4 linked regions of the Tamandua tetradactyla genome follow. The protein of the gene in region 1 interacts with the protein of each later gene in a pairwise test. Links are inferred from orthologs where the notes say so. Each region holds a gene or a part of one and is shown in the gene's direction. Other genes may lie near its edges.

Evidence for each region.
Region 2: the proteins of ERBB2 (region 1) and FGFR4 interact in a protein complementation assay, tested with the Homo sapiens proteins (2 studies listed by BioGRID, with this or other methods). The link is inferred for Tamandua tetradactyla from reciprocal best matches to the Homo sapiens genes ERBB2 and FGFR4.
Region 3: the proteins of ERBB2 (region 1) and HDAC6 interact in a protein complementation assay, tested with the Homo sapiens proteins (2 studies listed by BioGRID and IntAct, with this or other methods). The link is inferred for Tamandua tetradactyla from reciprocal best matches to the Homo sapiens genes ERBB2 and HDAC6.
Region 4: the proteins of ERBB2 (region 1) and PDGFRA interact in a protein complementation assay, tested with the Homo sapiens proteins (2 studies listed by BioGRID, with this or other methods). The link is inferred for Tamandua tetradactyla from reciprocal best matches to the Homo sapiens genes ERBB2 and PDGFRA.

What each region holds. Positions count from the first base shown.
Region 1 is NC_135332.1:27,586,170-27,594,163, reverse strand, and holds the start of ERBB2 (receptor tyrosine-protein kinase erbB-2), read left to right. Parts: upstream 1-4,993; 5' UTR 4,994-5,269; coding exon 5,270-5,342; intron 5,343-7,994. UniProt on the Homo sapiens protein: Protein tyrosine kinase that is part of several cell surface receptor complexes, but that apparently needs a coreceptor for ligand binding. Essential component of a neuregulin-receptor complex, although neuregulins do not interact with it alone.
Region 2 is NC_135346.1:58,737,111-58,744,041, forward strand, and holds the start of FGFR4 (fibroblast growth factor receptor 4), read left to right. Parts: upstream 1-3,921; 5' UTR 3,922-4,083; intron 4,084-6,493; 5' UTR 6,494-6,545; coding exon 6,546-6,636; intron 6,637-6,931. UniProt on the Homo sapiens protein: Tyrosine-protein kinase that acts as a cell-surface receptor for fibroblast growth factors and plays a role in the regulation of cell proliferation, differentiation and migration, and in regulation of lipid metabolism, bile acid biosynthesis, glucose uptake, vitamin D metabolism and phosphate homeostasis.
Region 3 is NC_135353.1:121,434,222-121,441,959, reverse strand, and holds the start of HDAC6 (protein deacetylase HDAC6), read left to right. Parts: upstream 1-4,723; 5' UTR 4,724-4,829; intron 4,830-4,853; exon of another isoform or gene 4,854-4,984; intron 4,985-5,035; exon of another isoform or gene 5,036-5,192; intron 5,193-5,261; exon of another isoform or gene 5,262-5,379; intron 5,380-5,396; exon of another isoform or gene 5,397-5,489; intron 5,490-5,878; 5' UTR 5,879-5,907; coding exon 5,908-6,003; intron 6,004-6,087; coding exon 6,088-6,216; intron 6,217-6,358; coding exon 6,359-6,447; intron 6,448-7,738.
Region 4 is NC_135345.1:54,468,758-54,476,678, forward strand, and holds the start of PDGFRA (platelet-derived growth factor receptor alpha), read left to right. Parts: upstream 1-4,916; 5' UTR 4,917-5,145; coding exon 5,146-5,175; intron 5,176-5,631; exon of another isoform or gene 5,632-6,119; intron 6,120-6,670; exon of another isoform or gene 6,671-6,801; intron 6,802-7,089; exon of another isoform or gene 7,090-7,177; intron 7,178-7,621; exon of another isoform or gene 7,622-7,673; intron 7,674-7,921. UniProt on the Homo sapiens protein: Tyrosine-protein kinase that acts as a cell-surface receptor for PDGFA, PDGFB and PDGFC and plays an essential role in the regulation of embryonic development, cell proliferation, survival and chemotaxis.

The sequences.
Region 1 (7,994 bases):
AGCGCCAAGAAAGGCCAGAAGACAGGAATGAGGTTATCATCTTTGAAGAACAGAGCAGCATCCAGCATGCTGGAATGCTGTGAGCACGGAGCCTGCAGCATTGAGGGACACTGAAGCATCAGTCAGAGATCAGATCCTATTGGGTCTCACAGGCCATGGTGAAGAGTGTAGGCAATGGGAAGCCACTGGGGTTGTTTTAGAACTGGATTGAATAACATGCTCTGAATTTTTCTTTAAAAATGTTTATTTGGCTGCTGTGAAAAAAAAAAAAAAGAAAAGAAAGATTGTAGGGGGCAAAAGTAGCATTTGAAAGACCAAAGGCTGGTGGCTGTAGCCCAGAAGAGAAATAATAGAGTTTAGATTAGCTGGTGAGGAGGGGGTGGGGGGGAGATGGAAAAAGTAGCATAGAGATATTGGAAGAGGAATCGGTAGATTTAAAGGACTGGACAAGGCAAGAAAAATCAGCAATGTAAGTTCAGTGAACTGATCATCTGAAACTCTAACTGTCCCCCCAAACCAGGATCTCATGATTGCCATAGTTTTATGCTTCTGGTAGCTTCCTAGTCCCCTCCTCCCAAAATCAAAAGTCAGAGGCACGGACATATTCATTCACCCTTAGTGGTCTGTCCTCCAGCAGCGAGGGGGGTGTGCTTCAGGATGAGTGGGTTGGCCCAGTGCTTGTGAGACAAGGAATCCAGGAGAGGGAGGGCCCAGTGGGGCTTTCAAGAGTTGGGATTGGAGAGGTCACTGCTCCCACACCAAAACCTAAAACACTGTGACCGACCAGGAACTATCCAAGCCAACTTTCTCCTATTTCAGACGGTAAAGTGAAGAATCATCCAAGGCCACACAGCAAAGCTACCATCCAAGGAGAGACCCACTCATGAAAAATGAGGGCACAGAAACGCACCCAGGACAGCCCTGTGTGCAGAGGCTGGGGTGGAAGGCACTCTGCCTTCATGCCATGCATTAAACCAGGTGAGGTGGAGGACAGAAGAGTCATTTTGTTTCTGCAAAGCAGCCCAGGGAGAGAAAGGGAGAGAGAAGGGCAATCTCTTCGCCTCCTGAGCCTGCATTCCCGAGACAGGTGAGAAGAGCTAAGGGCCATCATCAGCAAGAACAAGGCTGGTGTTTCTCTGGTGAGCTTGGCCTCTACCCACTCGCTAACCCTGGGCCTGGGGAGCAGTCTCCCGTGTGGTTAGGCTACAAGTGAATTGATCCGTCTTCTTATCAGAAGCTTCCAAGTTACTTTCCTGTGGCCCCAGGAAGGCCTTGTGCCTGCTTTTCTCAGGGATTCCTTCCATTGAATTCATACCAACACTTCCTCTACAACCCGTGCCCCAGACTGGAGGCCCTGCCTGGTAGGCTCTGGCTTGAGGCCTGGACCTCGGACTGTGGACTTTCCCCTCCCCTTTTCTGTTTGTTTTCAATCCTCTGACCCTTGGCTGGCTAGTGAGGTAGGCAGTGGGGAGGAGACTCCAGGGTGTACACAGACACACACAGGCGTACACACACAAACACATACACACACACACAGCCTCACATGCCCCCAAGTTTCAGTGGCTGGTCAATGATTGATTGGCATTTCACAGGTTGTTGGTTTCAGACCCTCAGAGGTCACCTCTATAAGTCAGGGTCTCGCGTTGGGCCTCTTCAGTGCTGGTGGCCACTTCCACAGCCCACAGGCCCAGTAACTGTTGTCCAAAGATCTTCTCAGGCAAATCTCATGCATCTGCCCCTCGGGCCCTTGGCTTGTTACCCTCTGACCTGCAGTCAGGCCCTTCCTTGGTACCCAGCCTCCCTCACTCTAGGCCCCTCTCAAACTCCTCCAACAACCGGCCCTATCCCGCTCCCTGATGTTTCCCCCACTGTCTTTGTCCTTCAGGCATCCTCTTTCCATGGCTCTCCTGCCAGGCCCCGCTGGGAGGGGCAGCAGAGGAGAGAATCAAATCAGCAGCGCCCACCCCTGCCCCCCTTCCTCTCCTCTTGTCAAACACCAGACAAGGTTTTTTCCCCTTCCTTTCTGGCTCTGAATGGGCTCATTCTCTCTAGTAGATTCGGCCCCTCTCGAGCCTCCTCCCCACAGCGTGAGTTCTGACCCCAGCTCCTCCCCCCCACCCCCTCTCTGCCCGGTCTCTGGTTGGCTCCGCCCCTCTGGGCAGCCTTGTATGCCAGCCAGGGGTTTGTTCTTAAGATCTCCAATGCAGAGAGGGGGGCTTGCTGAGGCAGGGCAGGGGTAGAGGGAGGGACTCTTTGTAGAAGGAGGGATTTACCCTGAGAAATCTCCTCTGGCTCCCCCACCCCAGGGGGGTTCATGGTACCCCTTGATTCAGAGCTCTCGAAACTAATGGATGAAGCCAAAGCTTTCAGAAGCCTCAGGTTCTGCCTCTGCTGTGTGGTCTTAGACAAGTTCCTTTACCTCTCAGGATCTCCGGGTTCCTTCCCTGTAAAATGGGGAATGATAACAGCCACCCCTGGTGCCTCGAGGAGCCAGTGTGAGAAGGAAGGTGGATGTAGGACAGAGGATGGCACAGAGAAGGATCCAATAAAGGATGGTACAACAGCAGCTTTCCTGGCTGCACAAGCTTTTCCTAACACAAGGGCTGGGGAAAAGCATGTTCCAGGGGAAAGGGACACCTCAAACCCTGACCCTATGGTAATATCCTGATGGTCTCCCACCAGCTGCACGTGCGATCACCCACGTACCAGCCCTCCCTCGAATATTTCACCACCAAGTAACTCTTGGAACCAGGTCAACACCTTTTCTCCCTGAGGGGCTGAGATGCTGTGGGTTTGAGGCAAGTTAACTAAATCCTATACCCTCTTCCTTAGGGAAGAGGGGCTGGTTTTGCTGGATGTTCAACTTTTTCCTAGTTAACCCTAAAACAGCCCTGGGCAAATTACTTAACTCTAATTCTAATTCTAACACCTAGAGAAAACAGGAATCTTGATGCCCGTCCTGGCGGGCTATTGTGTCCCCAGGAACAATGGTGTTTCCAAACATTTGTGATTATAATCCAAGGAATAAATTCATTTTACATCACGAACTGGAAACTACATACAAAACCACACTTACCCTTACTATGTTCTTACTCCACGGGATGTGCGCCGATCTTTTCTATTACATTCTATTTCTTAAAACAAACAAACAAACAAAAGTCTAGTCTTAATCATTTAAATTGGTTTCGGGGCCCTCTAATGATGAATCTGACCTGCGGTTTGAACAGTACTGGTTAGAGCTGGGGCGGGGGCGGATTTACCATAGGGTTAAGAAAGGTTACAGTTTCAGGCCCCTTATCTGCATATATGTGCATAATTTTGTACTTAATTATTTTCTTTTTTTAAAAATTAATTTTTAAAAATAAATTATAGGTTTACAGAAAAATCATGCAGAAAATATACACCTTTCCTCACACATACAACTTTCCCTATTACTAATAATTTGTATAACTGTGGTATCTTTGTTAAATTGATGACACAATATTCTCATAATTACACTATTAACTATACTCTATGGTCCATTAGCGTTCACTGTTTGTGTTGTACAGTCCTAGGTTTTTTTAAAATTTTTGTTCTAGTACCATATATACAACCTAAAATTTCCCCCTTTGCCCACATTCAAATATATAATTTAGTGGTGTTAATTACATTCACAATGTTGTGCTACCGTCATTGTACTTAAATTTGTATTCATAACTTTGTACTTCTTTTCTTAAAGAGCGTCTCCCACATCATATAAGCTTCAGGCCCCACAAAACCCGGTTCTGCCCCAGTAGAAGGAAATCCAGTCGATTTATTGAGCAGCTACTATGTGCCGAGTCCTGTGCTAAGTGCTTCAGGAGCGTTATTTCATTTACCCCCTAGCACAGTAGGCCTGATGCCATTACAGACTCTATTTTACAGATGAGCAAACTCAGAAGACTCGGTCACTTGCCCAAAGTCATAAAGCTAACAAACAGGTGGTAGAGTCCAGAGATTTGAACCCAGGTCATTCTGATCCCAGAGCCCCTGCTGCTCTCAGCCTCCCACAGGTGTTCGGCACAAGTAAGCACTAAGAAATTCTAGTGTCCTTCATTCTCCAGTCCCCAGCAGGTGTCCTGATCCCCCTCTTGGTCAGCACAGATGTTGCTCCTGGCTACGGTATTCCAAGAAGACTTGCCAGATTTAGCAAATAAAATAAGGAAGCCCAGTTAAATTTGAATTTCAGATAAACAACGAATAGTTTGTTATTATACGTGTGTCCCACGCACTACTTTGTGGGAATTTCCAACAAAAACATGCCTCCTTCCCTTTCAACCCCCTCTCCTCCCCCATCACTCGGGGTCTTAAGAACAGGGTCAGGGGTCCAGGTGGAATGCAGGGTGGGGAGCTGCAATGGAACAGGGTAACAAAAGGCAGGGGACAGAGCAGAAACCTTGAATGAATTGGGGACTGGGAGCCCCATAAAGAAACAAGAGGTATATCCTTTGAAGGATGCGGCTGAAGTCCCCTCTAATTTGAACTCTTCTCCTCAAATCTGTAGATTCCCTTACAACCAGCTTTTTAGACTAGGGAAGATAGCTAAAAGAGTCCAGAGGCTATGCCAGGCAGTCCTGGAAGCCAGAAGTTAAACACAAGGCATCCCCTTCCTTAAGTACCAATTTCACCTGAGGATATGGTGGGAAAACCATTATTTGATATTAGGACAAATAGGCATGTGATGGAGTAGGATGCAAACACGCCAGGAATGTTTAAGATAAACCTGCAACTTAGAAGAGAGGGAAGGGATGGCAGCCGGGCCTTAAAGAATTGGCCCCAGAATCCGGGGAGAGGCGGACGAGCCCCTCTCCTCTGCTTTTAGGGGTTCTTCGTGGAAATGGTTGGGATCGGCTGTAGGAAACCCAGGCGTCCGGGCGCTGGGAGGGGCCCCCGGCAGGCCTGCGCGGAGAGAGGGAGAAAGTGAAGCTGGGAGTTGCCACTCCCAGAGACTTGCTGGAATGCAGTTGGGGGGGGGGGGGGGCGAGCTGCGAGCGCGCTCGCTCCCAATCACTGGAGGAGGAGGAGGTGGAGGAGGACGGGCTGCCTTGAGGAAGTGCAAGAATGAAGTTGTGGAGCTGAGATTTCCCTCGACCGTGGCCAGAGAGACGAGAAGAAGCCCCCCGAGGCCTCCGCACGCCCCTCCTCCGGCTGCCGGGTTCCGCGCGGAGCGCCCGGCCCCCTTCTCTCGCCTGCCCGGCGCCCCCCAGCCTGGTCCAGCCGGAGCCATGGGGCCGGAGCCGCTGTGAGCACCATGGAGCTGGCGGCCTGGTGCCGCTGGGGGCTCCTCCTCGCCCTGCTGCCCCCCAGAGCCGCGGGCACCCAAGGTGGGTCTGGCGTGGGGAGGGGATGGAGCAGCGACAGAAGCCCCTGCAGCCTGCGTCCCCCCTGAGAGCTCCCCGGACGCGCGGGGGCAGGGGACACCCGAGCTGTCCCGACCTGGAGTAGTGGGCACTCGGGGCGCTCGGGGTGGCCGGGCCTTGGGACAGAGGGAGGGGGCGAAGTAGTTGGGGCAGGGGGGCGATCGCACCCACGCAGCCGTAGTCGAGGGACCGACTGGCCCTTCCCAGACTCCAAACTGCTCTGCGAACTTGTCAGCAAAGTCCTTTGGAATTGTTCAGAAAGCTTCTCCCCCAAGGGTATACTGCGTGGTGTGCGTGGTGTGTGTGTGTGTGTGTGTGTGTGTGTGTGTTCCCCTTCTTGAACCCCTTGAAGCCTTCGCAGTTTTTCCAGTTGGCAGCCTCCGCCTCCCGACTGGTCTGGGCTGGATTCCTTTGGGGGTCCCCTCCGCCCTGTCCCTGCCCAGCCCTTCCCCCCTCCTCCCCTCCTCCCCTCCAGCAGCTAGAATTTGGTGACTCCAGCTCCAAGCAGGGTCCGGGTGTAGAGGGGGGAGGCGGGGAGAGCAACCTGTCCAGCCCAGGGGGAGGAGGGGGGGCAGGAGGCTGCAGAGTTGCCTTATGCTGGGGTCTGGAGTAGGGGGAGGGAGAGGCGGGTCGTTTTGAACAAGTTTCTTTAGGGCCAACTGACTGGGGGCCTGGGTGTTTTGTGACTTTGGGAGCGTGTGTGTGTTGGCGGTGGTGGGTCTGGGACCTGAAGTGGGAGAGTTCCGAGGGAGGGATTCCGGGGCTCTTGTGGGGGAGGCTGGGCTGTCTGGCAGCCTTTTCTTTCATGCCCTGTGTGGGGAAGGGTGATGTGGGGGGCGAGGTGTGTTCTGCGAGGAGTATCTGCCCACCTGTAGGTGATGCTGAGAAACGCAGACGTGTCCCGGTGGTACACCCTATGTCAGGTCCTGGTATGGCGTCCTGTGCGCATTCCCTCCTTTCACCCTCAGCCACCCAGTGGGAGAAGTCCTGTTTCCATTGTCCTGGTGAAGACCTGGACCGTAAGGAGGCTCAGTAACAGCCGGGAAGTGGTGGGGCCCACCCCTGACCCCAGCCAGCCTGACCCCCAGCCTCATTCTCAAAATCACTATATTCAATCAAAGGGGAAATCAATCCCCCTTGAATGGTGGGAGCTGCTACCCGCATCACCGGGCTGGAGGGAAGACAAAATGAGAGTGTTCCGACAGTAGTGGGTGGTCTCCCCGGGTCAGGGAGTCTGGTGTGGGCCGCGTGTTGCCTGAGGGCCCCTCTGTCTGGGCATTGCTGTGTTGTCTGGAGAGTTCCTGTGGGTGTCCGAAGCTGCCCGCTTTTGCCAGGGTGTTCCTGAGTTGTGTGGACTGAGTGTTTGTATGTCTCTGCTCTGTGTTGCCAAACAGCAGTCTCCCTGCCCCCTTGGGGACTGGGCTGAACTCTGCCCTCTCAAGGAATTCCCTCAAGGTGCTGGGCTAGATCGGTTGTAAACAGCGGGAGGTGGCCTCCTGCCTTGTCTCTGAGGAAGGAGGCGCCTCTTTCCCGGTGAGCCCGTCCTCTTTCTCCCTGAACCCAGGCGGACGTCTTCACCCCTGACCTTCTGAGGAGAAGGGTGAGGCCAGGCTTGGCGATCGGGCCGAGTTGCTATCCTCCTTGCCTTGGCCTGGGAGTTGAGCAGGTGGGGAGCGGCGGGGTTGCTGCAGAGCGATCTGAGGAGCTGTCTCCTGGGGTCTCCTCGCGTCTCCCTCACCCCTCAGCTTGCACTGTGGGGTGCAGAGAGAGACTCTGGGTGCGTTGTATAGGGATTGGCTAAAATGGCAGCCCACCACCCAGCTGCCTCCAGCACCCCCATTATTGTCCATGGCTGAAGGAAGGGGCAGGAACATGGGGTGGAGGGGAGACTTGGGGAAGGCTCAGAGGGTCAGGATTTTGCTGAGATCCTTTCTGCAAGGTTTTATAAAATTTCAGCAAACACATCCTTTTTATCTTGCACAGCTCATATGTTATTATTTCCAGAATCGTTCTCCCAGCAGCCTCCTTCCTTCTTTTTACTATACTTAGGGAAAGTGACCTCATTTTAATATTCAAGAGAAAACAATAGAAAGATAGGATCAAATGTCAAAAGAAAACATCTATCCCATTCCAATGTCAAATAGGAAGCACTTTTTATTTTCTCTTGGTTTGGGATTACCCATGCTTCTGCCTTAACTTTAAAAAATGTCCTGAGTGTTTCCTACGTGTCACCTTCTTACCCACAGACAGTTTCATTTCACCTCTGCAAAGGTCCTGCGAAGTATGTGCACAGATTGGAAAACTGAAGTTCAGGGAAATGAAGCGGTTTATTCAAGCCAGCTAATCAGTACCGTCCAGGGCATGTTTGGCTCCAGAGAGGAGGTCTCAGCAGTAGATCAGAGACTTATTCCATTCCCCGGGAATGGGTTGAGCAAAGCCCATTCAGGTGGATGACCTCCCATCGGTTTATCTAGGCTATAGAAAGTGGGGCTGTCTTCCTCCACCCCATCCTGAGCTGGGGCCCTGAGCTCCCTTCCCGGCTGCGGGGTCCTCTCCCTCCCAGGCCAGCCCATGCTTGCCTTCCTTTTGATTTTGAGCCCTCCCATCATGGCAGGG
Region 2 (6,931 bases), on another chromosome or scaffold:
GGCTTGTGGAAGGGCAGTGCAATGGTGGCTCAGTGGCAGAATTCTCATCTGCCATGCCGGAGACCTGGGTTTGATTCCCAGGGCCTGCCCATGCCAAAAAAAAACCCAGGTTTGGCTGACCCTAAAGCCCAACCTTCAACTATTCAAATTGTTATCAAAGTTGCTTCCACTCTGCCCTCCTGAGTCGGTCCTCCCTTGGGGGGGGACCAGGGTAGAAAAGAGGTTGGAAAAAATCATAACAGTTGTCAATTCAGAGTAGAGCGCGTTATGATTTTACCCTGTGCCCTGTGTGTTTATCTTTAAACTCTCTCAAAACATTGTTTTAGAAGGAAAGAATAAAAGGGAAAAAAAAAAAAACAAAACTAGACTGGTTCAGAGGATGGGGTGAGGGCCAGGCCTGAGCTGGGCTGGAGCTGGAGTGGGGCCTGGGCAGGGACTGGGCTGGCTCAGCAGCAGCCCTTCCACACAAGAGCCCAGTGTTCCCCAGCCCAACTGCCATTCAAGAGCAACGTCACTGTCCCCAGGCAATGCCTGCTTTCCCTCCCCTGACTCTGCTTCTAGGCAGGAGGGGCCTGCCCACCTCGGCACTCTGGGAGCCCAGAGTCTGCACCCCATGGCTTTGGGCCTGGTACATCGTGGGTGCCCCATCAGCACAGGCACCCCCATGGGCATGGGGAGAAGTACCCAGACCCCACCCCCACAGCTCACCGTCAGGTGAATCTCCAACCCCCCAGGCCACAGTTGGGGATGGAGACAGAAAACGGGTCGAAGTGGTGGCATCAGCCACCCTGACTCTGTGGAGAGTCACCCTGGGCTCTCCTTGCGGGCCCCAGAGGACCCGGGTTCGAGTTCCAGTTCTGCTGTTTGCTGGCTATGTGTGACTTCAGACCAGTCACTCCAGCAACCTGAGCTTCTATTTTCTCTCCTGCAAAACTGAGTCAAGGATCCCCACACCATTTGGCTTGGTGGCAGGATTAAAGGATATAATGCATGTCCAACGCAACTAGCAAGGCAAGGACTTCCACCTTACTTGCCATTCTGGTGAAACTCACCCCACCTGTTAACTCATTCATTTTCCCCAGACACCCCTGGAAAGCTGGACACAGGAGTGTAGTCCATTTCCTGCATAGAAAAACTGAGGCAGAAGCAAGCCAGGATCAGTATGTTAGGCTAGCACGCTCCTGATTCCCTGAGAAGTGAAAGGAGGTGGTGTGTGTATATGCATGTGTGTGGACGTTTGAACATCTTTGAGAGAGAGATTGCATGTGTAACTGGGGAAATATTTTATGTTAGCAACAGAGTGAGTCAGTGAGAGAGAAACAGGCTTGGGTGTTATAGTGGTTTGAGGCTGAATATTCCCCAGAAAACATGATCTGGCATCTAATCCATTCCTGAGGATGTAAATTCATTGCACGTGGGACCTTTTGATGAGACTACTTCAGTTAAGGTGTGACCCACCTCATAGGATGGGTTTAATCCTCTGACCGGAGTTCTTTCTAAAGGGGAATGAATGTGGAGAGAGGGAGAAAAAGCCGCCTAAGCAAGAAGCCGAAAGCAAGGAAACCTGGAAGAGCAGGAAGAGACCAGCGGACGCCGCCATGTGCCTCGCCATGTGGCAGAGCAGTCGAGGACCACCAGCGGCCAGTCTTCGGGAAGATAGCCTTGCCTTGATGATGCCTTGATGTGGACATTTTCTCAGTCACAAACTGTAAGCTAATAAATTCCCATTTTCTAAGCTAACCCATTTCATGGTATCAGCTTTGAGCAGCCTAGGAAACTAAAACCGTGCCTCTCCCAGATGCCCTCAGCCTGCCTCCCTATGCACTGTTTACTTGTCTGCTTCTCCCCACTACAACGTCAGCAGCTCCTTGAGGGGTAGAGGACATGTCTGAGTCACTGCCTGATCCCCAGGATTTAGAATGGTGCGCTCCACATACCAAACCTTCCATAAACACTTGGTGAATGAGTGAATGAATGAATGACCTTATGAGAGTGTCAAGACTCTGCAGAGGCTCAGTGTGAGAGGTGTGAGAAGGAGAGGGGCCTGACAAGGGATATAGGAAACACCTTCTTACACAGTGTCCTGGGGGATGAGGGCATTTCAGGAGACAGGGAGGTTGCCAGGCCTCGGCTAGGAAAGCCTTTGGCTCAGGTAAACCTGGGAGATGCCTGGAGGTTGAGCGAAAGCTGTGTTGGGCCCAGCTCCTGCCAGCAGCCTGTCTTGGCCCCTAACAACTACATTCACAAGCAGAGGGCCAGGGATGGGAGCCTCTCCAATAGTCCAGGAGAGCCGCTGCCCACTGGAGGCTTTGCCAGACCTCCTGGCAGCCCTCATTTGCTGGAATCCCCAGCGCCAGGCATGACATTCTTTCTGGGTGCTCTAGCAAAGCAGGCCCCAGAATGAGGGCAATCAGGACAAGCTGCTTTTTGTAGACAATTATCTTCTGATTTATCTCTGGGAGGAAACCCTTCTTTCGGTTCAGAAGGAGGAAAAAAAATCACTTTAATCGATCTTTTGGTTATGCAAAGGTGAAGCTGCTCTCTCATTGGGAGTGAACTTGGGGAAAAACTAGACTGTTCTGCATAATAATGCAGAAGGCAGCTGTTTCTCATAGGGCAAGGTCTCCACTAGCCCTAGGGAAAATCTGAGGTGGGCCTGAGACTCAAGCTGAAGGGTTTCCTTTTTCCTCAAGGATCCTTCAGAGGAGCCCAGAGCTTGGACTTCAGGTGAGGAGTGAGCAGGGGTCATAGGTCTAGACCATAGTCTAGATGGTCAAGAGAGAAGAACTTACAGGTGAGGTCCACCTGAGCTGGGTGGGGGCGGAGCTTCTCGTGAGGCACCTACCGGGCCACGTACTTGAGATAAAATGGCAAGGAATGCAGGCTCAGTTCCTGCCTTTTAGGAGCTTAGCATTACGCAACTATTTACACAGTTGACCATTCTGGCGAGAGTGATGAGAAATAACGTGTCCAAAATAATCACAGCTAACATTACAAAGCAAATGCCATATGCCAGGGAGCGTTCTGAAGGATTATTCACCCTGATACGTCTACTGTTTGCAAAAACCTCCTGAGGATGGTATAATCATTATACCCATCTTACTGACGAGAAGATGAAGACACAAAGTAACCCACCAAGCGCGCGCGGTAGCTGAGATTTGAGCCCACCGGGTCCAGTCTCACAAACCGAAAAGAAGCCAGAGAGACCCTGCCAAGTCCAGAGGGCTTCTCTGAGGAAGTGCTTTTTGAGCTAAGACCTAAAAATAAATGTAATCAGCCCAAGAAGGGACAGAGCGTTCCAGAAAGAGGGAACGGCACGTGCAAATGAGCAAGGACCAGGTTTTGCCAAAAATGTTTATATTTTTAAATTTTCCAGTTGCTACTCACAGCTACTGGAAAATGGAAATGGGTTGGTGGATGTAGTCTGATCTGTGTTTCAAATATTCTGGAAGTTGCGCAGAGAATGGATTTGAGGGGGCGGGCGAACGCGCCTAAGAACAAAGGGGCCAGGTTGGGCCAAGGTCTGCTTACGGCGGGCGGGCTGGATCTCGTTCCTAGTGGGGTGAAGAGCACGGGGTCTACCCACCAGTAAGTGGTCTAGAACTTGGAAGTGCTGCGAAAGAGGCGGAGTCTGAGGGGGCTGGCAGCAGGAAGGACCCCGGAATTCAGCCGAGCCTGTCCCGGGTTCCGCCAGTCCCAGTGGGCGGGGCGGGGCTCGAGGTGGGCGGGGCTCTGGGTTGTCCTGGGCCAAGCCGCTGTCAGGATAGCGCTGGTCCAGGCGGGGCGGGGCCCTTGGTGGGCGGGGCCTGTTGTGGGTGGGGCGCTAAGCTGCCAGCTTTCACGCCGCTGTCAGGATAGAGCCGGTCCAGGCGGGGAGGGGCCGGGGGGCGGGCGGGGCCGGAGTGGGCGGGGCCCTGGGCCGCCCCTGGCCCCGCGGTGCTGGTGGGTGCATTTCTGGCTCTCCCGCCCCGGGCGGACACGCGCCCGGGCTGTCTGCGGGCCCGGCCGGGCGCGGGGGCGGGGCCGTGGAGCCGCCAGGTGAGCGGAGACCCTGTGACGGGAGCGCAGCCACGAAGGCTTGAGGTGAGCTGGGACCCGGTGCGGGCCCCGGCTGTGCTCCCCGCCGCCAGGGGGCGAGAGGCTGCGGGGCTCCGGGGGCTGCCGGCTCCCAGCGCGGCGGACCTGGGCGTCCGCTTGGCGGGGTGGCGGAGGGGGAGGTAAATCAGTAACCCGCGGCGCACACAGGGCCTTTTGTCCCGCTCCGTCCAAAGAGCACCCTGGCCGCGGAGCTGGTTACTCATTGCCTACCCGGGCGGGGGCGGGCGGGCCGACCCTCTCCGCAACTCCCCCCTCGGGACGCGCCGGCCCATCCCTCCCCCTAAGGTGGCTCAGTGGGGGGGAGGGGGAAGACGGACACTCGTCCCAGGGCCACTGGGCCGTCTGCATGCCCGGCTTAGAGATGAAGAAGCTGAGGCTCCGAGTGATGCAGTCACTTGCCTAGGGTTCCCCAGCGCGTGAGTGCGGAAGGCAGGAGGAGAACCCGTGGCTGCCAGATGGAACCAAGGGCCGGCTGCCCTCTCTGGATTGGGCTATCAGCGGCCTTGGTTGACCCGTAATGCCCTGAGGTTCTGAGGTCGGGATACTGAGGGTGGAAATAAAACCCCCGGGCCTCTCCACCCCACTCCCAGCCTGAGCTCTGGATGCAGAGTGCTGCGCACCGTGCAGAGTGAAGGGAGGAGCAGGGGGCCACTGAAAAGAGGAGGGGAGGGAGCCCAGCGACGGTGGCATCTGAGCCCTAGCCAAGTGGAGAAGAGGTATGGGCAAGAGAGCAGATGTGTTCAGTTTTGAAAGCCAGTGATGTCCGTGCTCCTGAATGGGCAGTCAGTGAGACCGGAGAGATTGGTGAGGTTGAGGAGGGAGGTCTGGGGTGCTGGATAAACAGTTTGGACTTGATCCTGCAGGACGCAGGTAGCCACTAAGGACTTGTAAGCTGGAGGGTGACATGTCAGACGTGCATTTTTTTAAGGCCCTGGTGGAGGGTGGAGGCTGAAGAGCCCAGGGAGGAGATATTTGTAAAGACCCACGTGAGAGATGACCGTGACCTGCCCCAGTTCAGGGCAGGGGAGTGGGAAGGAATGGAGAGGAATGGAAGAGGCAGAACAGACAGAATGTGGGATCCTCTGGAAATAGGGTGGAGGGAGGGCAGAGGACAGGGGCTGAAGGGGGTGATTCCCCAGCTGCTGACTCTAATGATCGGGCAGTTTATAGTCAGGGCAACCCAAGGAAGGACCAGTTTGAAGGGGGAAGATGATGGCTCTCACCAGGACAGGCTGAGTGCCCACTGCCTCAGATGGGGAGCTGGACAAGGGACAGTAGCTGAGGAGAAAGGATGTGATGGATCTACTTGCTTTCTGAGCAAGGTAGATCCAGAGTCACTGGTGTTCCTGGTTGTTACCCGGCCCCCGGTAACAGCCAGTGGGTTGTTCCCAGCCACTGGACGGTGATCAGCCTATCCGCCTGCCCCATCTGGGCCAGTGTTCCTTGTGGGGGACACATCTGCCTCAGTGGCATTTGTTGGAGAGTAACCTGGATGGAAGGATTGGGTTCATCACACGTGATAGGAACAACCTTAGAACTGGAGGTGACTGGCTGAGTGAGGGCAGACCTGGCATGGGGGGCTGCAAGGAGGAGAACATTTTGACATTCTGCAGGACCAGCCCCCCTACACAGAGTATCTTTTTTTTTTTTTGTCCTCAAAGCAGTCCTGCAAGGAAAGTGACCCAGAAAGGGACAGAGATTTGCAAATTGGAGTCAGTATTTAACTTGTCTTTTTGACACTCAAGTCTGCATTCTTCACAAAACCCTGTGTTGCCTCAGATGGAATTATGGGGGGGTTGGAATTGTGGGGGGTGGGGGTGGAGGTCGACAACTCTGGTTCAGAATAAGGAAGACCTTGCTGCTTAATGTGGAATGTGCTGCCACTGGAAGTATCCAAAGCTGGCCATGGAACTGACAGCCATGCCATAAGGAGTGGGGTCAGATCAGAATAACTGCCAAATGCTGAAGCTTGGCCTGAAAATACATTTCAGTTTTTTTTTCTTTGGGGCTCTTCAGCAGTAAATTCATTTATTCAGAAAAAAAAATAATAATAAATGATGTGTGCTGAGAGTGAGCAGAGGATGTGTCTCCGTTCTCTGCTTCCCTCCAAGGAAAGACTCCCTGAACTGCCCTTTTCTGTGAACTCATGCCAAAGTCTCAGCAGGACCCAAGGAGTGCAGGAAACCCGCCCCAGCCCACCTTACACAACCTGATGTGGGGAGGCCTTGGGCTCTGGCGTCAGCAGAGATGGCTCCAGTTTCTGCCCCGCTGCTGCCTGACTGTCGGCCTGGACCAGCCTGCTGACCATGTCTTGCTCGGTTTCCTCATCTGCAAAATGGGATAATGCCAACACAGGTGGGCGTGCGGCTTGAGGTCTTCTCCCTCCCTGTTTCAGGAAAGCAGTCGCGGGAAGCCCAGCCCAGATCCGTGTGAGCCGCAGGAAGGAGATGCTCCTGCTGTTGACCCTGTTGGGGGTCCTGCTGGCGGTACCCAGGGCCCCAACCTTGTCCCTGGAGGCCTCTGAGGAAGTGGAGCTGGGTATGGCCGCTCAGGTGGGAGCGGGCGGCAGGGGCGGAAATAGCAGGCACCAGGAGGGGGCTGCTGGCTGAGATAGGCTGGAGGGGCTCCTGGGCCAGGCCCCGAGGGGGTGGTGGCAGGGCAGGTCCCCATCATTGAGACGTGGTATCTTGGAATGTGCTGCCACTGGAAGTATCCAAAGCTGGCCATGGAACTGACAGCCATGCCATAAGGAGTGGGGTCAGATCAGAAAAACTGCCAAATGCTGAAGGTTGGCTCCCAGCTAGTGTCCATCTATCTCATGTCCAGGAGAGAG
Region 3 (7,738 bases), on another chromosome or scaffold:
TGGTCTTGGATAGAACCCAAGCGTCGGTATTTTTCGTCTTAAGTGCATACACTGTAAGCTACCAACACAATGGTTTACATGGAGTGAGCCCAGCTCCAGAGCAGAACCCAGATCAAGAGGCAAAATATGACCAATCCCATCAGAAGCCCTCCTCATGCCCACTTCCAGTCTTCCTCATCTCCCCACTCCCACAAAGATAACTATCCTGATTTCCATAGATTAATTTTGCCTGGTTAGGAACGTTAAATAAATGGAATCACATAGTAGGTACTCTTTTTGTCTATTTTCTGTTGTTCCAGTAGTACTTTCTCAAGTTCCCCAGTTGATGTTAATGTGTTGTCAAAGCCTGACAACGTATAGGAACTTCTTTCAGGAATTCCTACCTTGAATCTCAACAAAAACCCAAGTGCTGAACCACTGACCTGGCTCTCTCTCAGTATAGAAATACCTGTCCTTAAACTCTTCAGGAACCCAGCTCTGATTCGAATATAGAAACTCTTGCATTCATAATGTACAGGAACCCCTGACCCCATTCTACACAATCCCTGACCTCACGCCCTACACCATCAGGTCTACAGGAATCCATAATCCAACTCTCAGTATGAGCCTCAGTCTCAAACCTGTAGAAAATTATTTCCTGACGCTGTGGCTGGGACCCCTGTTCTGACTCTCTACCCTCACGGAGCCCCCTGTGACCTCAACTGGTACCAGACTTCCTGCCCAGACATTATACAGGTACTGTTTACTGATGCTTTATGGGGCTCCCTGTCCTTACACCATGTAGGAACACTTTTCCTTCCCCTATGTTAGATTTACCTCCCTGACCCTCTGCAGGAACCCTTTCCTTACAACCACTCAGGAACTTCTGATCTGACTCTCTGTAGAAAACCTTTTCCTGAACCTCAAGAGAAATCCTTTACTTTAGTCATTTATGGGAACCTCTGATCTAATCCTTTATTGGAACTCTTGACCTTACTCTCTGGAAACATAGTCCTGACACTGAACAGGAAGCCCTGATCTGACTTTCCATAATAACCCTTATGCTGGCCTTGTCCCAGAAGTCCTGTCTTCACCTTGTATAAGAACCACTGTCCTGGGCGGGCCATGGTGGCTCAGCAGGCAGAGTTCTTGCCTGCCATGGCGGAGACCCGGGTTTGATTCCCGGTGCCTGCCCATGTGAAAAAAAAAATAAAAAGAACCACTGTCCTGCTGCAAAAGAAGAACACTCACCTGAATCTCTGAAGGAAACAGTGTCCTTCCTAACTGTACAGGATTTCTGTCCTGACCCTGCACAGGACTACCCTCCATGACTCTCAGCAGGAACCTGTGTCTTGAGTTGCTACAGAAAACCCTACATTTACTCAACAGGAACCTTTGATCTAACTCTTCACAGGAATCCAAGAAATGAACCAATACAAATATACCTACTCTCTATAGGAACCCCTGTTCTGAAATTGTTAAACAACCAATAGCCTGAATTTCCATGAACATCTGTCTCAAGTCTGCAGGAGAACCCCAGGCCTAACCCTCAACATGATTATCTGATCCACCGCTCTCTCTACAGGAACCCAATCCTGACCATCCTGAGCATGTTGTGATCCTATAGAAAGTAACTTTCCTGGCCTCCAAAGGAGCATCTAATCTTTACCTGTTCAGGGAGAAAAGTGCCCTTCACATCCTTCCCTCTCACGCCACAATGTCTCCAACTAGCATCTTTTCCTATAAACCTGCCTTGCATTGTAATAGAATCATTTTCCATATCCCAGACAGGAAACACTAACTGGACTCTGTAGAGAAACCCATATCCCTGCTCAGTACAAGAACGCCTGTCCCAATACTTTAAACATAATTTTCTATAGCGGTGTTGTCCGACAGAAATATAATGAGAGTCACGTGTCATTTTAAATGTTCATGCAGCCACATTTTTTAAAAAAGGAAAAGAAACAGGTGAAATTAATTTTAATGGTGTATTTTACTTTACCCATTTGCTTTAGTTTGTTAAAACTGCCAGAATGCAATATACCAGGAATGGGTTGGTTTTTATAATGGAAATTTATTAGTTTACAAATATACAGTTCTAAGGCCATGAAAATGTCCCAATTAAGGCATCAATAGGACAATATCTTATCTGAAGAAAAGCTGATGGCATCCGGGGTTCCTCTGACACATGGGAAGGGGCATGGCAATGTCTGCTGATCCTTCTCTCCCAGCTTCTGGCTTCAGTGTGGCTCCCTCAGCTCCTGTGGGCCCTTCTTGCTTCTCCCGGGGCATTTTCTCTCTCTAAACTCTCTCGGCTCTGAGGTCTCTCCAAAATGTCTCTGGGTTTTTCTCTGCATCCTCTCATAAAGGACTCCAGAAAGGGGATTAAGACTCACCTTGAATTGGGTGGGCCGCATCTCCATGGAAATAACCTGATCAAAAGATCCCACCCCAACAGGTCTGCATCCACAAGAATGGATTAAAAGAACATGACATTTTCTAGGGTACAGAACAGTTTCAAACCAGCACCACATTATATACAAATATTCAATATTTGTATTTTACAAATACAAATTTGTAAATTTTTAAATTTACAAATTTGTAAAATTACAAATACAAATTTGTAACTTTGTAAATTTGGTATTTTACACTTATAACCCATTCCAATTAGGGCGAGCCACATTTCAAGGGTTAATTAGCCACATGTGGCTAGTACCTACCATATTGGACAGTGGAGCTCTATGGAGTCAATAGAATCTTGGAGTAGACTCTGCCATGGGTTCATCAAAGCCTGTTCCCTTTCTTCCTGAGCCTACTCTATCTTTTCCAACCTCCCTTGCAACCTCTGCCAGATGGGACACAAGCTGAATTCTGGCCAACAGAACATGTGCCAAAGTGATACATACCACTTCTCCTGGCTCATAAAAACTTCCCTGGCAGACCTCCACTCTCCCTTTCCTTCCCCACCTACTGGCTGAAGAGAAAAAAATCTCCAAGGACCTAGAGGAGAGTACAGCCACAAAATGGAGGTCTCCTGGTCCATGAATGATCCACTAGTCATTTGTTAAGCCCCTGAGATTCTGGGTTGGTTTGTTATAGCAGCTAGCATAATTTATTTTAATGAATAACAGTCTCTTGACCTGAATCTAGGCATGATCATATGATCTTACTATCTATATGATCACAAGTACTGAACCTGTTCAGAAAAACCTGTCCTAACCCTGATCTGTTTGTAGGAACCTGCCATAATTCAGTCTAAGGAGCCCCATCCTGAACTTGGACAGGTTCCCCTAGTCTGGAGCTCTCTAGGAACACCTTTCTTGTGCTGTATAGAAACCCCTGCTTGATCCAGTAGAGGAACAGAAAGTTCAGGAACCTCTGTGCACTCCCCTATCAAGGGACATTTGCTTGACACAGTAGAGAAAGGTCAGGAGTGACCTGATCCTATCCAAGAGTCCCTGTCCTCACATCTCACACAAAAGGAATACCTCTCCTCATGCAGCCTGGAACCCCTGCTTTCATCCTTGAAAAGAATCCTAGCCAGGTAATGAAAACCAAAGAATGACACTCTACAGCAAGTATTGAAAAACTATTGTCAGCCAGCCAAGCCCAGCCCACTGCCTGTTTTTACCTTCTGAAAGGGGTGTGAAAAAGAGAAGAAAACAAAATTATGCCACAGAGACTTCAAGCAGCTTACAAATCCTAAAATATTTGCCTTCCTGCCCTTTATCGAAAGTTTGCTGACCCCTGTTCTACAGGAATTAATCTCCTGACTATACAGAACTATAGGCCTTGACCTTTTACAAGACTCCCTGCTTTGCAGACATCACAATCCCAGAATGTCCCCCAGTGTGTATCACTTCATATGTGTTTCTTTGGTGTATGTGGAGGTTTAAAGGTCTTAAGTCTGTGGCCTTCTTCCACTTGGAGAAAAGACAGCAGGAAAAGAGTGAAAAGGAAGAGGGGGCTGGAACTGGGAACCTCAAAGGAGTCAGAAGGCCCGGCTACTGGGCAGTGAGGTTGTCAATCTGCTTATTAGTCAGCGATGCTGAACCCCAGACCGCTTATCTCTCCCGCCCCAGCCTGCGGCCGGGTAGGAAATGGTAGAGAATGAGAGAGGGAGATTAGGAAAGACAAACCGGCCTCCCCGCGGGGCAGATATTTAGACAGGGGTGGGGGTGGAGGTACGGGAGCCCGAGGCCGGCACACTCACACTTTCCCATGCAACTTGGGAGCAGAGGTTATCCGGTGGAGGGGGCAGATAGGGAGACCAGCCAGCCGTGAAAAACTCCTGGTCCATTCTGGCCCTGGGCACTATTATTATTATCACAATTTTCCAGATGAGGAAACTGAAGCACAGAGACATTCGGAACTTGACCAAGGTCACATGGCTAATCGAAGAACCTGCTTCCTTATCTGCAAAGTAGCGTTAACAATGGGAAATCCCTCATAGAGTCGTGGCTAACAACATCTGGCACATAATACTTGCTATCTTCACAGCTGCTGGGGCCCCTCTTCCCCATCACCCATTTGTCACAGCAGACTATTAACAGCTAACGTTCGGTGAGTGTTCCACGTGTGCCACCTTAGCCAAAGCATGAAACACTGAATAAACCACCACATTTATTGTTACCATCATTCCTATTTTTGGCCTCCACCAGCCATCATCCCGCCTCAACCTCACTCGCCGGCGCCAACCCGCCCGCGTTACGTCATCACCCGGCGCCGCGCGGGAAGCGGCGGGGCGGTGTGAACACGCCCCTTCCCAACTCCTTCCTTCTCTTGCTCGCCCTCTCCCTGTCTTGAATCGTCGCAGGGCACGGTTGCCGCGGGTCCGAAGGGCTCCCAAGGTGACGGGGTAGGGGCGGAGGAGCACGGCCGTGGCAGCTCGGACGACCGCAACGATAGCTGGGGGAAAGTACAGCTTAAGCTTAAATCCCGTATTGAACAACTGGCGCCTCATGCTGACGCGCCGGCCAGCCGCCCGTTTCTGAAGTAGCGGGAGGTGTGCCCGACGCGAGGGGTGGGGCCTCGCGGAAAGGAGGGTGCCCGGTGTGGGTGGGATCTGGGCTGGCGGTCGAGAAAGCGTGCCCAATGGAGAGGAAGGGCTCGGGCACCGGGTGCTCCGCAGGCCGCTGGGAGCTTGGCGGCACGAGCAAGAGGCGGAGTCTGAGAAAGGGGCTGCGCTCTGTGAGCGGAACCCAGAGATTGGTGTATGTGGGCCTCGGGGGCGGAGACTGGCGGGAGGTGGCTCGGGACTGGCCGAAGCGGCTTGGGTGAAACAGGGAGTAGGGTCTGGGCGGGGGTGGGATCTGTGGAAAGAAAGAAGCCGTCCCTTGAGGGGGCGCGGTTTATTGAAACGTTAGGGGCGGGATCTGGCAGAAGGGCAAGTGCGGCCCGGTAAGGGGTGGAGTTAAGTGCTTCGCTCAGGGTGGAGTCGGGGCAGGGGCTGGGTCTGGCTAAGTGAGAGGGGTGGGTGACTATCCCAGGAGATAGGCGGGAAAGGGCAGGTATGTGAATGCAGCCTGGAATTCCCCTGGAATCTGGACTAGGTTTAGAGGAATGAAAGGGTCTGGGGATGAGCCTTGGTGGAGCGGAAGGGGCGATGACTAACTGGGAAGCGCAGGCCCTAGAACAGACTGAGCCTGGGGCTTTAGGACTCTGTGAAAGGACCAGGCTTTGAAAGGAGTAAGAAAATAGTGTCAAAGGGGTGGAGTCTAGTGGAAAGGGCGGGACCAGGTGGAAGGGAAACCCCAGTGAAGGGAGGGAGTCTTACGAGAGGCGGAGTTTAGAAGGCATGGATGGAGTATAGTATATGGGGTGGGGCCTGAGAAGGGGGCAGGAATGTGGGGGTCCTCAGGCACTTCCAGCCCCCTCACAGTCACCTCCACTCCCCCAGTACCGCAGCAGGTCGCAGTCTCCCCGACCATGACTTCCATCGGCCAGGATTCCACCAGGCAGCGAAGGAATAGGCACAATCCCCACTCGCCCCCCCACGTCTCCGACTCCAGCGTCACCACTGCGGTGAGGCCTCAGACCTGCTCTGATGAGGGGGAGGGGGAGCAGCGGGCCGTCCCCTGGACTCTGACCCTTCTCTCTGCCCGGCAGAAGCGAGGTGTTAAAAAGGGTGCTGGACCCCGCTCCAGCCCCAGTCTAGCGGAGGTAAAGAAGAAAGGCAGAATGAAGAAGCTCAGCCCAACAGCCGAGCAAGACCTAATCATGGGGCTGCAAGGGCTGGTGAGAGGGACCTGGACTCGGTTTGGCCTCCCATAGCAACCAAAAGCCTGAGACCTTGAGGTTCTCCATCCTGGACCATACAGGATGACCCCTCTGACTCAGGCCCTAAATGGATCTGTCTCTCCCATTTTTTTCCCTGCAGGATCTGGACCTTGAGGCCAGGGCACTGTCTGGCACCGGCTTGGTGTTTGATGAGCAGCTAAATGAATTCCATTGCCTCTGGGATGACAGGTGAGGCTGGGTCCTCTAGGCCATCCCGCACCACACACATCCACCCACTTTGAGCCATCAGGAAGAGCAAATCATTTCTTATGCCAGCCTAGGAACTGTGGAAGCTGATTGATTTAGGAACACGTGACTCAGGCTTGAAAGGGTTCTTATCGTTTAGCCAGCAAGCAATTGTTGAGCACCTCCTTTGTGCCACCGATTAGTGATACAAATGTGGAAAACACAGACAGGAATCCCCTCTCCCAAAGCTGATAGGTGAGTAGGAGAGCAGACCATTAAACAGCCACACAGCAGTATGAAGTGTGTAATGAAGGAGAACTTAAGTCCAGGGGACTCAAGGGTGTTTAAGATATGGCCCTAAGTTAGCATCCCCATTTCCCCAGAAGGCTTCTTGAGGAAAGGGGATTTGTGCTGAAACTGAAGAATTACACTCACATTGGCCCTATTTTTCACATTTGTTGTAATCCATCACCAAATTCGTGTAGCTCTACATTGAAATTATATTCAGTATCTGACCTCTCTTCACCACCCCCACTGCACTCAGCATCACTATTCACCTGGAATGTTGCAGAGGTCTCCTCATTTCCCCCCTCCCCCCTTCCACACCTATCCCTACAGTCTGTTCCCCACACAGCAGCCTAAAAAAAATGTGTATCGTATGACATTCTCTTTCTTAAAATCCTTCAAGCAAAGACTGCTGCCCGTAAGGTAAAGTCCAAATTCTTCATTCTTTCATGTGATCTGGCCCTGCCGTACTTCTGTGGTCTCATCACTCCACCCTCCCTCCTCAGTCACCTTGCCTTACCCATACTGGTCCTCTTGCTGTTCTTCAAAGCTGCCAGGAACTCTCTCACCTCAGGTCTTTACCCTGACTGATCCCTTTTCAGGAGATAGGTTTCTGCCTTCGTCTCTAGCAGCTAATGTGTATTTATCATTCACATCCCAAGGAGACTTTCTCACAAATGTCTTTTCCTGCCCCAGTCTCTAACACGCCTGGTCTTAGAGATCTTCATAGCCCATGTCATTGTTAATTACTATATTTATGTGTTTGTTTACCAGTTAGTATCTATCCTAACATAAGACTCATTATGGCAAAAACTGTGTCTGCCTTTTATTTATTGAATAAATCTTTAGCATCTATGGAGGAGTTAGGGATACTAAAGTAAGCAGAACAAACAGAAATCCCTTTCTCATGGAGGTTACATCTTAGAGGGGGAAGACAGTAAACAACAACAACAAACCCCCAATAAACTATATAGTATGTTAGAAAGAGAAGTGATGTGGAGAAGAATAA
Region 4 (7,921 bases), on another chromosome or scaffold:
TTTTCAAATTAAAAGTAACTAAAAACTAAGCCTTATAGAGGAGAGGGAAGTAAGAGGCACAAGAACACCCTTGGATTGAGGAAGTGGCTCTCTCCCATGGAAAAGGATATCAAAATATCCAGACCCCATGGAGGTATAGACCTACCACATCTTTCCCCAGCTGAGAAGCATATGGCCCAGCTCTGTTACGAGAGTTCCCAAAACGCAGTTCACTGCCCTGGTCTTCAGGCCAGTAACCAGGCTGTGGTGTTAGGAATCATTTGTAGAGGATGTAGCAAGTCACGATGCACTGGAAACTGCTTTGTACTTTGCCCTGGAAGAGGGAGCAGGGATGGAGAGCCCCCTAGGAACCAGAAGAGGTGCTGCCGGGTTAGATGCAGCCAGGAGTCACCGACAAATGTGTGAGGAGATGGTGGTGAGAAAGCAAACTATCACCCCAAGGTACACAGGCCAGCCTGGAGCCCTCTTCCTCTTAGTTTTCCAGGACTTGGCCCTCTCTGAATTCCAAGTGTGCAAAGAGGCACCAAGCAAGCTTGGGAGCCTCAGAAGGGGTAGGCTAGAGGCAAGGGCTGACTGTTGGCGCCGTCTCCCTGCAGGGAACCCCCTCCCCTCATCACTGCATCCACAAGGCTGCTCAGAGCCTTCCCAGCAAAGGTTCCTTCCAGCCTCTAGGCGAAGGGAGGATGGGACAGTCGGGGCATTTTCCTTTTGCAAACTACAAAATTGTCCTTCGTTTTCAAATCGTGAAGCCAGAATTTCACAACTAACAGCTTTGATAACTGCTACAATCCCAAGTCTTCTAAAGCAAAAGGACCTTTTGAATTCTCCGAGGAAAGTAGAATTGGGAAATGGAGTTGGGATGCTGCAGAGGAGAAACAAAAAGTCAAGGCAGTGGGAAATGCCCACGAAAATCTAAGGTGGGAGTTCTGAGTCGCAACTGCCCTCAACCAGGAGAGGAAGGGCAGGGCGAGATTCTGTCTTTGTTTTCAGTGACCATTTCAGTTGCAAAAAAGTTCACAGGATTCTGTTTTGGAATATTGGCTGGATCGCTACACCTCCTCCCGATTTCACTTTGTCTGAGGGCCTAGACGCACGAGGCCACTCCCCTAAACGCTGCGCCCCCTACCCCTTTCCCTAAATTTTCCAGCCAGATTCAATTTAGGATTTAGGTCTCCTTCCCCCTCAGCCCAAGGCCGACAGGACTCCGGTTTTTAACCCCTTGAGGAGAGAAAACCCTCATTCTTAACCCCTTGATGCTCCTTTAAAGAAAAAATCCGGGGGCGGGTTGGGACCTTCGCAGAGCAGCCCTCGCCGGCGAAGGTCACTTTGCGGGGCACAGGACGGCGGTCCCCGCCAGAAGCCCAGGAAGAGGAGGAAAGACCCCGCGGCCCGCCTCGGCCCGGGCAGTACTTCTTGCCGAATCCGGCTCCCGGACCACCCAGGACCCGGGGCGTCGTGGGGAGCAATCTGGAAGGATCTTAGGACAACACGGGAGGAGAGCGGTTCTGCTCGCGCACACCCCCGCCGCCCCCCAACGCGCTGGTCTGACTGACGGTCTCGCACCCGACCTCCCAAAGCCTCTGACCAGCCGCAAAGGGCAGAAAACCCGCCCATGAGGAAGGTTTAACCAACCACCTCGGTTCGTGGACCCCCTGCCCCGAGCTAACTCCAGTCCTTGAGGTTTATTTTGCTTTTGCCGGGGAGGCAGATGGTGCCCGCTCTCCATCTTTGCTTGGTCCAGATTCCACGAACTCTTCCCCCAACCATTTGCTTCCCTGGGTCACCCCCCACCGGCGCGCTGTCCACGGAGTCAGCTTCCCCAGGCCTTTCAACCTTCCAGAATGTCACACATGGAAACCTTTAGCAAAAGTTTGTTAATGATCATAACAAAGGCATCATTCAAATTAGGCAGGTAATCACTACCAGAAGGACAACTGGGTGCTTGCTGGGCTCATCCATTCTCTCTGCTTTAAACTCTCGAGGAGTTACCGTCCGAAGTCGCCCCCGCCCAGCCCGCTTTTCGGGCCCCTTTAAAGCGGCTCCGAAATGAACTGTGAAGTTACCATTTGTGGGCGGGGGAGCGCTGGGGCCCCTCAAGCGGGAGACCCGGCTAGCAGTTTCCCGGCAGCACCGCAGGCCCTCCAGGCTAGGCTTTCTGTCTCGCCTCCTGCCCTCTTGGGCACCTGGGATAAAAACCCCGCTCTCAATTCGTCTTTAACAACAGTCTGAAAGCTGGTCCGCTGCTTATCAACTTTTATTCTGTGCTCTGATTTGGGGGGTGGGGGGTGGGGGAGAAGGAATGTTAGTTCCCGTTCATTATCTACAAACATTACGGTATCCTGTTAGCATTCTGAACAAGGGGCTGTTCATATATTTGCCTTCAATGATTTCCTGAAGGAACATGTGGAAGTAATAGCGGGCTGTGCAAGTCACCCGAGCTGAAGATGCATGAGAGGCGGGCACGCAGAAGGGCCCGGGGAGTGGGGCCCCCAAGCCGAGCCCCAGGCGCCCTCTTCCTGGGCCTGGCACTCCGGAGCCCGCCCGGGTTAAACCTGGCACCTAGCTCCTTGGAGTAATTTTTTGTGAGCCTCCCCTGAGGGTCTCCCTGTGTCCACCCGGTGAGGGAGGTGATGGCTTTCCCACGTGCCAGTCCAAACCTGACCGCCTTAGCCACTCTGACTGTGTGTGTTAGTGAAGGGAGATAAAGGATGCCCCCCTCCCCTCAACTACAGAATTCAAAATTACAGCAAGCGGGGAAGGTGAAAGCTCTCCCATCCCCCGCTCTCGACCCAGGTCTGGTTCCTGGAGCGTCAGCGCCCCCTTTCCCTTGTAAGCAGCATTGTTCTCTCCCAACACCATCTCTTTGCCTAGCGCCTTGGGCACAGGATTTGGGGCTCCACTCTCAACCCCAAGGCATTCATAGGGTCCGACCCGCGCGGCGGTGGGAACACAAGTGGCGTCAAAATACTCCCATCCCCAGGACTAGAAGGTGGCTGGCTTGTTGTTGACAGTTCCACAGTCTCCCAAGCCGGAGTCATTTTCTATGGGAGGTAGCCAGGGCAACCTTACCCTGATAACTCCGAAAACAAAGGCACAATAAGTGGCTTCTTGGGAGTAAAGGTCTTTCTGTAGGAGTATGTTCCAAACCTATGCAGAGTCTAGAGTCTTTGTATTCCCTTTCAGACCCCAGCCATTCAAACACACGCGCGTGCCCGCGCGGGTACACACATACCCACCTCCCACACACACAACACATCATTGCCGTATTGGACTCAACAGTTTGCCTAATCCCATTAAAGGATTAGCAACTACAGGGCACTTTCCCTAAAAGACTCCTGGTTCGAAACAACTCAACCACTTGGAGCCCTCCAGAGAGTCCCATTTCCAGTTGGGCCAGGAGCTTCTCTAGACAGGACATTTCTTGATTCCGGATTTATATTCTCTTTGTCAATTAACAGCAATTTTATGTATTCTTTTACTTCTTTTAAAGAGGATACAAAGCAGTATGGGAGCTGAGGAAAGTATCTCCCAAGTCAGGAGGCAATCTCATTCTGGAATGATGGGCAATTTGTATTTTTACGAAACGAAACGTCTTTCCCGGCAGAGCATCAACACCTCCCCCTTCCACCACCCCCACCCCATCTGGTCTGCTTCTCCCCGCCCTCACCCCCCCACCAGTTGTTGTTGAAACCTGAGGGTTGGGGCTGGACCCCCTGGTTGCATAAGAGCAAAAAGCGAAGGCACAATCTGAAGGCTGGGAGATTCAGAGAGTCGGGAGTTTGAGGGAAACTTTTATTTTGAAGAGGCCGAGGGGGGGCTTCGTTTCCTGACAGCTATTTACTTAGAGCAAATGATTAGTTTTAGAAGGATGGACTATAACATTGAATCAATTACAAAACGCGGTGTTTGAGCCCAATACAGTCGGAGCTAGAGGGAGAGAAACAGAGGAAGAGACCACAAGAGAGAGCTGAAGATTTGGACTTTTTTTTCTCGATGTGTAGGATTTTCATTGCTGATTAACATAGGAGAAGGTAAGGGAGGGAAAAAGTGATTGTTGTTTCCATGGGAAGTCCTTGATCAGGTCCTTGGGCTGGAAGAAGCGAAGTAACTTCACTCAAACTTTGGACGATGGGGGAAAAAAAAATTTGGAACTGAATTCCTGTTGTATGCCCAGAGAATAATTATTCTGAATAAACTTCACTTGGGAGGAAGATAATACTGAGTTAGAAAGTCTGGGGATTTTAAAACAACACATTTTCCAGGCCTATTTTAGTAGTGTTTTTCTAACAACCCTATGGCCTCCCCCAAAATTGTTTAGGCATTTTTGAGGTTTCTTTTAGGGATGGGGGTGGTATTCGTGGATGCTGGGAAGAGTACCAAGTAATGCTGGGGGTGGGAGCAGAGGTGTTTTGCCCTCTTGGCATTGGGTCCTGGAAGGCGACAGGTTTTTAATGAATATTTTCATTCCTCGCCCGTGGTTTGGCTGGACAGAGATGCAGCCCGCGGTGTGGAGCGCAGCTGGGGTACGCTGGAAAGAAAAGACCGCCGAGAGCGGCGAGGAAATGGGGCTGCAGGGCGGGGGAGGCGTGAAGGGTTCGGCTGGAGGAGGCAGGACCGCGGGTGCCTGCCGGGTACACACGGCGCCGGCCGAGCACGCGTAATTACTGGACGGCGCTACGCCGGGTACAAGCAGAGTCCAGAGTCAGCACATCTGCTTGCGGCTGCAAGACGAGCAGACAGAGCTCGGGCTTGCACGAGAGTTTGGGGTGCTTCCCAGGGTGTTGCCGGGTCAGGGAGGTGCGAGGAAGAGCCAGAGTGGGCGCCGCAGTACTCTTGGATTGCGCGTCCTTGCCCGGGGGCGGCGGCCGCGCGACCGCGCGGGCGTTCTGGAGTAATGACAAACACATTTGGCCCGGAGTGAAGAAGTCGTCGTCGCCTCGCATTCCAGCAACTGTGATTTGAGGAATTTCGAACGGTGCTCCTAGGGGTCTTCATTGTGCGCGGTGGTCCCCCACCTCCCATCCGTCGCTGCGCGCTCCCCTCCTCCAGGGGAACCCGGGGCTGTGCTGCTGGCCAGTCCCGGCCGCAGGAAGGAAGAAAGGAAATCGCCAGAAAAGTGCCGAACTTCTTTTGGGGAAATTAGAAATGGCTTGGAACGGAGAGGCTTGGTTCCAGGTAAGACAGAAAGGTGGGAGGTGAACAGCCCTCCCCTCTCCCTTCTCCTTCCCAGCACTGGAATTCTGGATGCTCCTCCTCCTCCCCACCCCCGCCGTGTGTCCTTCTACGTGCGGGGATGTGTGACACTCGCAGTCTGTGCTCGCCCTGCGCCATCTCCTAGAGCCCTTCCTTTCTCCGCCGTTTATCCCCAAGGAAATCGGCTTTTTACCCGTGAGGGTAACTTCTCCAGGCAGCGTCAGGGGAGCGGGCGGCGCCCATTTGGCTGGAAAACATCTGGGCTCAGAGGTTCTGTCTGGAAAGGTCTCGGCCAGTTCGGAACGAAAGGGAGTGTGGCCCCACCCGAGTCCAGCAGCCCGAGGGGCCGGGAACCTTGGCCGCCAAGCCAGGTGTGCGGGAGCTCCCGGGTGGCCTGGTCCAGAGTTTCGGCCGGGAAGGAAGTTCTGGGCTGTCTTGCCGCGGAGGGTCTTTTCCGCAGCCAGAGCGCTAGTCTCGCGCTTCCCTCCGCCTGCGCGGCTAAGACCTCAGGATTTGCAGAAAGGCTGTCTGAAAAACAGACTTGCCATTTGGACTCCCATTTCCAAGGGTGGGAAGCTGGAAAGGGAGCGTGGACGGCCCCTATTAGGTTGGAGTCGCCCCACGCCCGCCCGTACTCACTGGAAAAGCCCCGGGCTGGGAGGTGTGGGAAATGACTTTTTGGCTCCCCGGCCGAATTGCTCAATGTTTTGGACCGCCTCGCCTCGCCTCGCCTCGCCGCGGTCACTCCCAAGCAGGACTAGTCAGCTTTTTGGAGCAAGGGGAGGCATCCAGGGCAAATGGAGCACCACAGTTCTCAGCCGCACACCTCATCCCATCAGCACCTCAGAGGAGAGCGAGTCCCCGGGGCCGCAGGATGAGAGGAAGCGGTGCCCGAGGCGTGAGCACCTCACCCACTGCAGAGCGAGGTTCTGTCTGTTACACCCCGCCCTCTACTTGGTCAACCCGGACCCTGGCGTAGTTGCGTCGCATCCCCTCCCCCATCTTCCCCCTCCCTCATCTTCCCCCTCCCTCTCGACCTTCTCCAGGATGAGGGGCCCTTCCTCCGTTCCCCTCAGGTGGGGGCCCGCCCAGCCTCACTTTGACGCCCGGGTTGGTCCCTGCTTTGGAGCTCTTGCACATTCCCGCTGTTGGTTTGACCCAACTGCAGCTGGACTCCAAAACGAGTCCAGAGAGCGAGGGGGTGGTGCGGAGGAAGCGGTGGGGAGGCGCCAGGAAGGCGTCTGCTTCTGTCCCCGGGTACTCCTGCCCTTGCTTGGGTCTTTAGACAGAGATAGAGACGCAGTGAAGAGCGGGGACTGCCAGCTCTCGGCCCCGGGACCGCTTCGCTAAGGGCGGCGGGGTGGGGAGGGGTGCAGGGGGAGGGGCATAGAGTCGGGCTTTCCAGTTGCAAAAGCGTCTGGCGCCGAGGCGGGTCGACCGTGAGCCTCCTGGGGACCGGTCGTGGGCGGCGTGCCGCGACGCGTCCTGGAGACGTGGTGGCCAGCGACCTCCTGCAGACCTTGGAGGGCGGGGTTCCCTCCTGCCTCCGAGGAGGTTTCATGTTACTAGTGGAGAAGCAGCAATTCTGGGGAAAGACTTAGCCAAAAGGTGCGCTTAGTGTCCCGCGCGTCCAGCCTCGCGGGGTTTGTGCTCGGCACCAGCCGTCGGGATGTCTAGCTGGATTGCCCGCGGTCGAAGGTGCAGGATCCAGTGGCAAACTCCTTGTTCGGACTCCGCCGATACTTGTCTTCTTAGAAGTGGCTCGGCGGCCTTTGCTTTTGTTTAAAACTGAACGCCAAGCCAGGAAAAGCAGACTAGGAGCCGGACTAGGGGTGGGTGGGTGAAATATAGAGGATCCGGGGTTTGGGGCGCTAACTTCCTTGCCTCCCACCGTAGCCCGTAGCGAAGGAGGAGCGAGAGGTTCAGAGTCGGGAGGAAGCGCGAGTGCGCGGGGTAACTGCGGCAAAGGCGAACGTCGGACAAGGTGAGCACCCGGGTTCTTAAAAGCCGAGAGGGGCACAGGCTTGGTTCATTCCGGTCTTCCTGACGAGTCGCAGCCTGCGGCTGTGCCTCCTTCAGGCCCATAGGAGGCGCTGGCGCGCGGCTGTAACTCTAAACCCCCGGGTCCCTCTCCCTCCACCCCGCCCGCCCCCCTCGCAGGTCTCAACCCAAAACAATGCAAACGCCCGGAGTTGGGCTTGGGACCGGGCGGCCGCTGCAGCGCTGAGCTCCGGAGCGCAGCAGGCAGGGGAGAGGGGCCGTGGAACCCGTGGGGCATCGCCACCAACCCTGGGAAGACCGAGCTTCCGAGGGCGTGGAGGTGACTGGGGCGAGGAGCGGCCCAAACCGCGTTGGTGTGGGTGTGGCGGAGCTGGGGGAGGACCGTGCCAGCGCAAAGCCTCCCGGCAGAAGGTTTTCGAGTCGCGGTGCGAGCTGCGCTGTCGGTGACCGGGAGCTTGAGCCGCGGGCAAGCCAGCTGGGTAAGATTCGCAGGGCTGCTGCGCCCTCTGGCGGACTACCGAACCGTAGTCCTGCTTTCCGTCAGCCCCGGGCGGTCGGCGCCACCGCCGTGTCGAAGCGCGGAGTTGGGAGCTAAGGGCGGGGGTCCCAGAATAAATAACCCGGGCCATCTTTCCCGGTTCTTGAGGGATCGTGTAGACGGCTTGCAGGGACAGTGTGGCCCTGGAGGTGCTGGATGGACGGGAGTATCTGAGTTCCCGTCCATAAT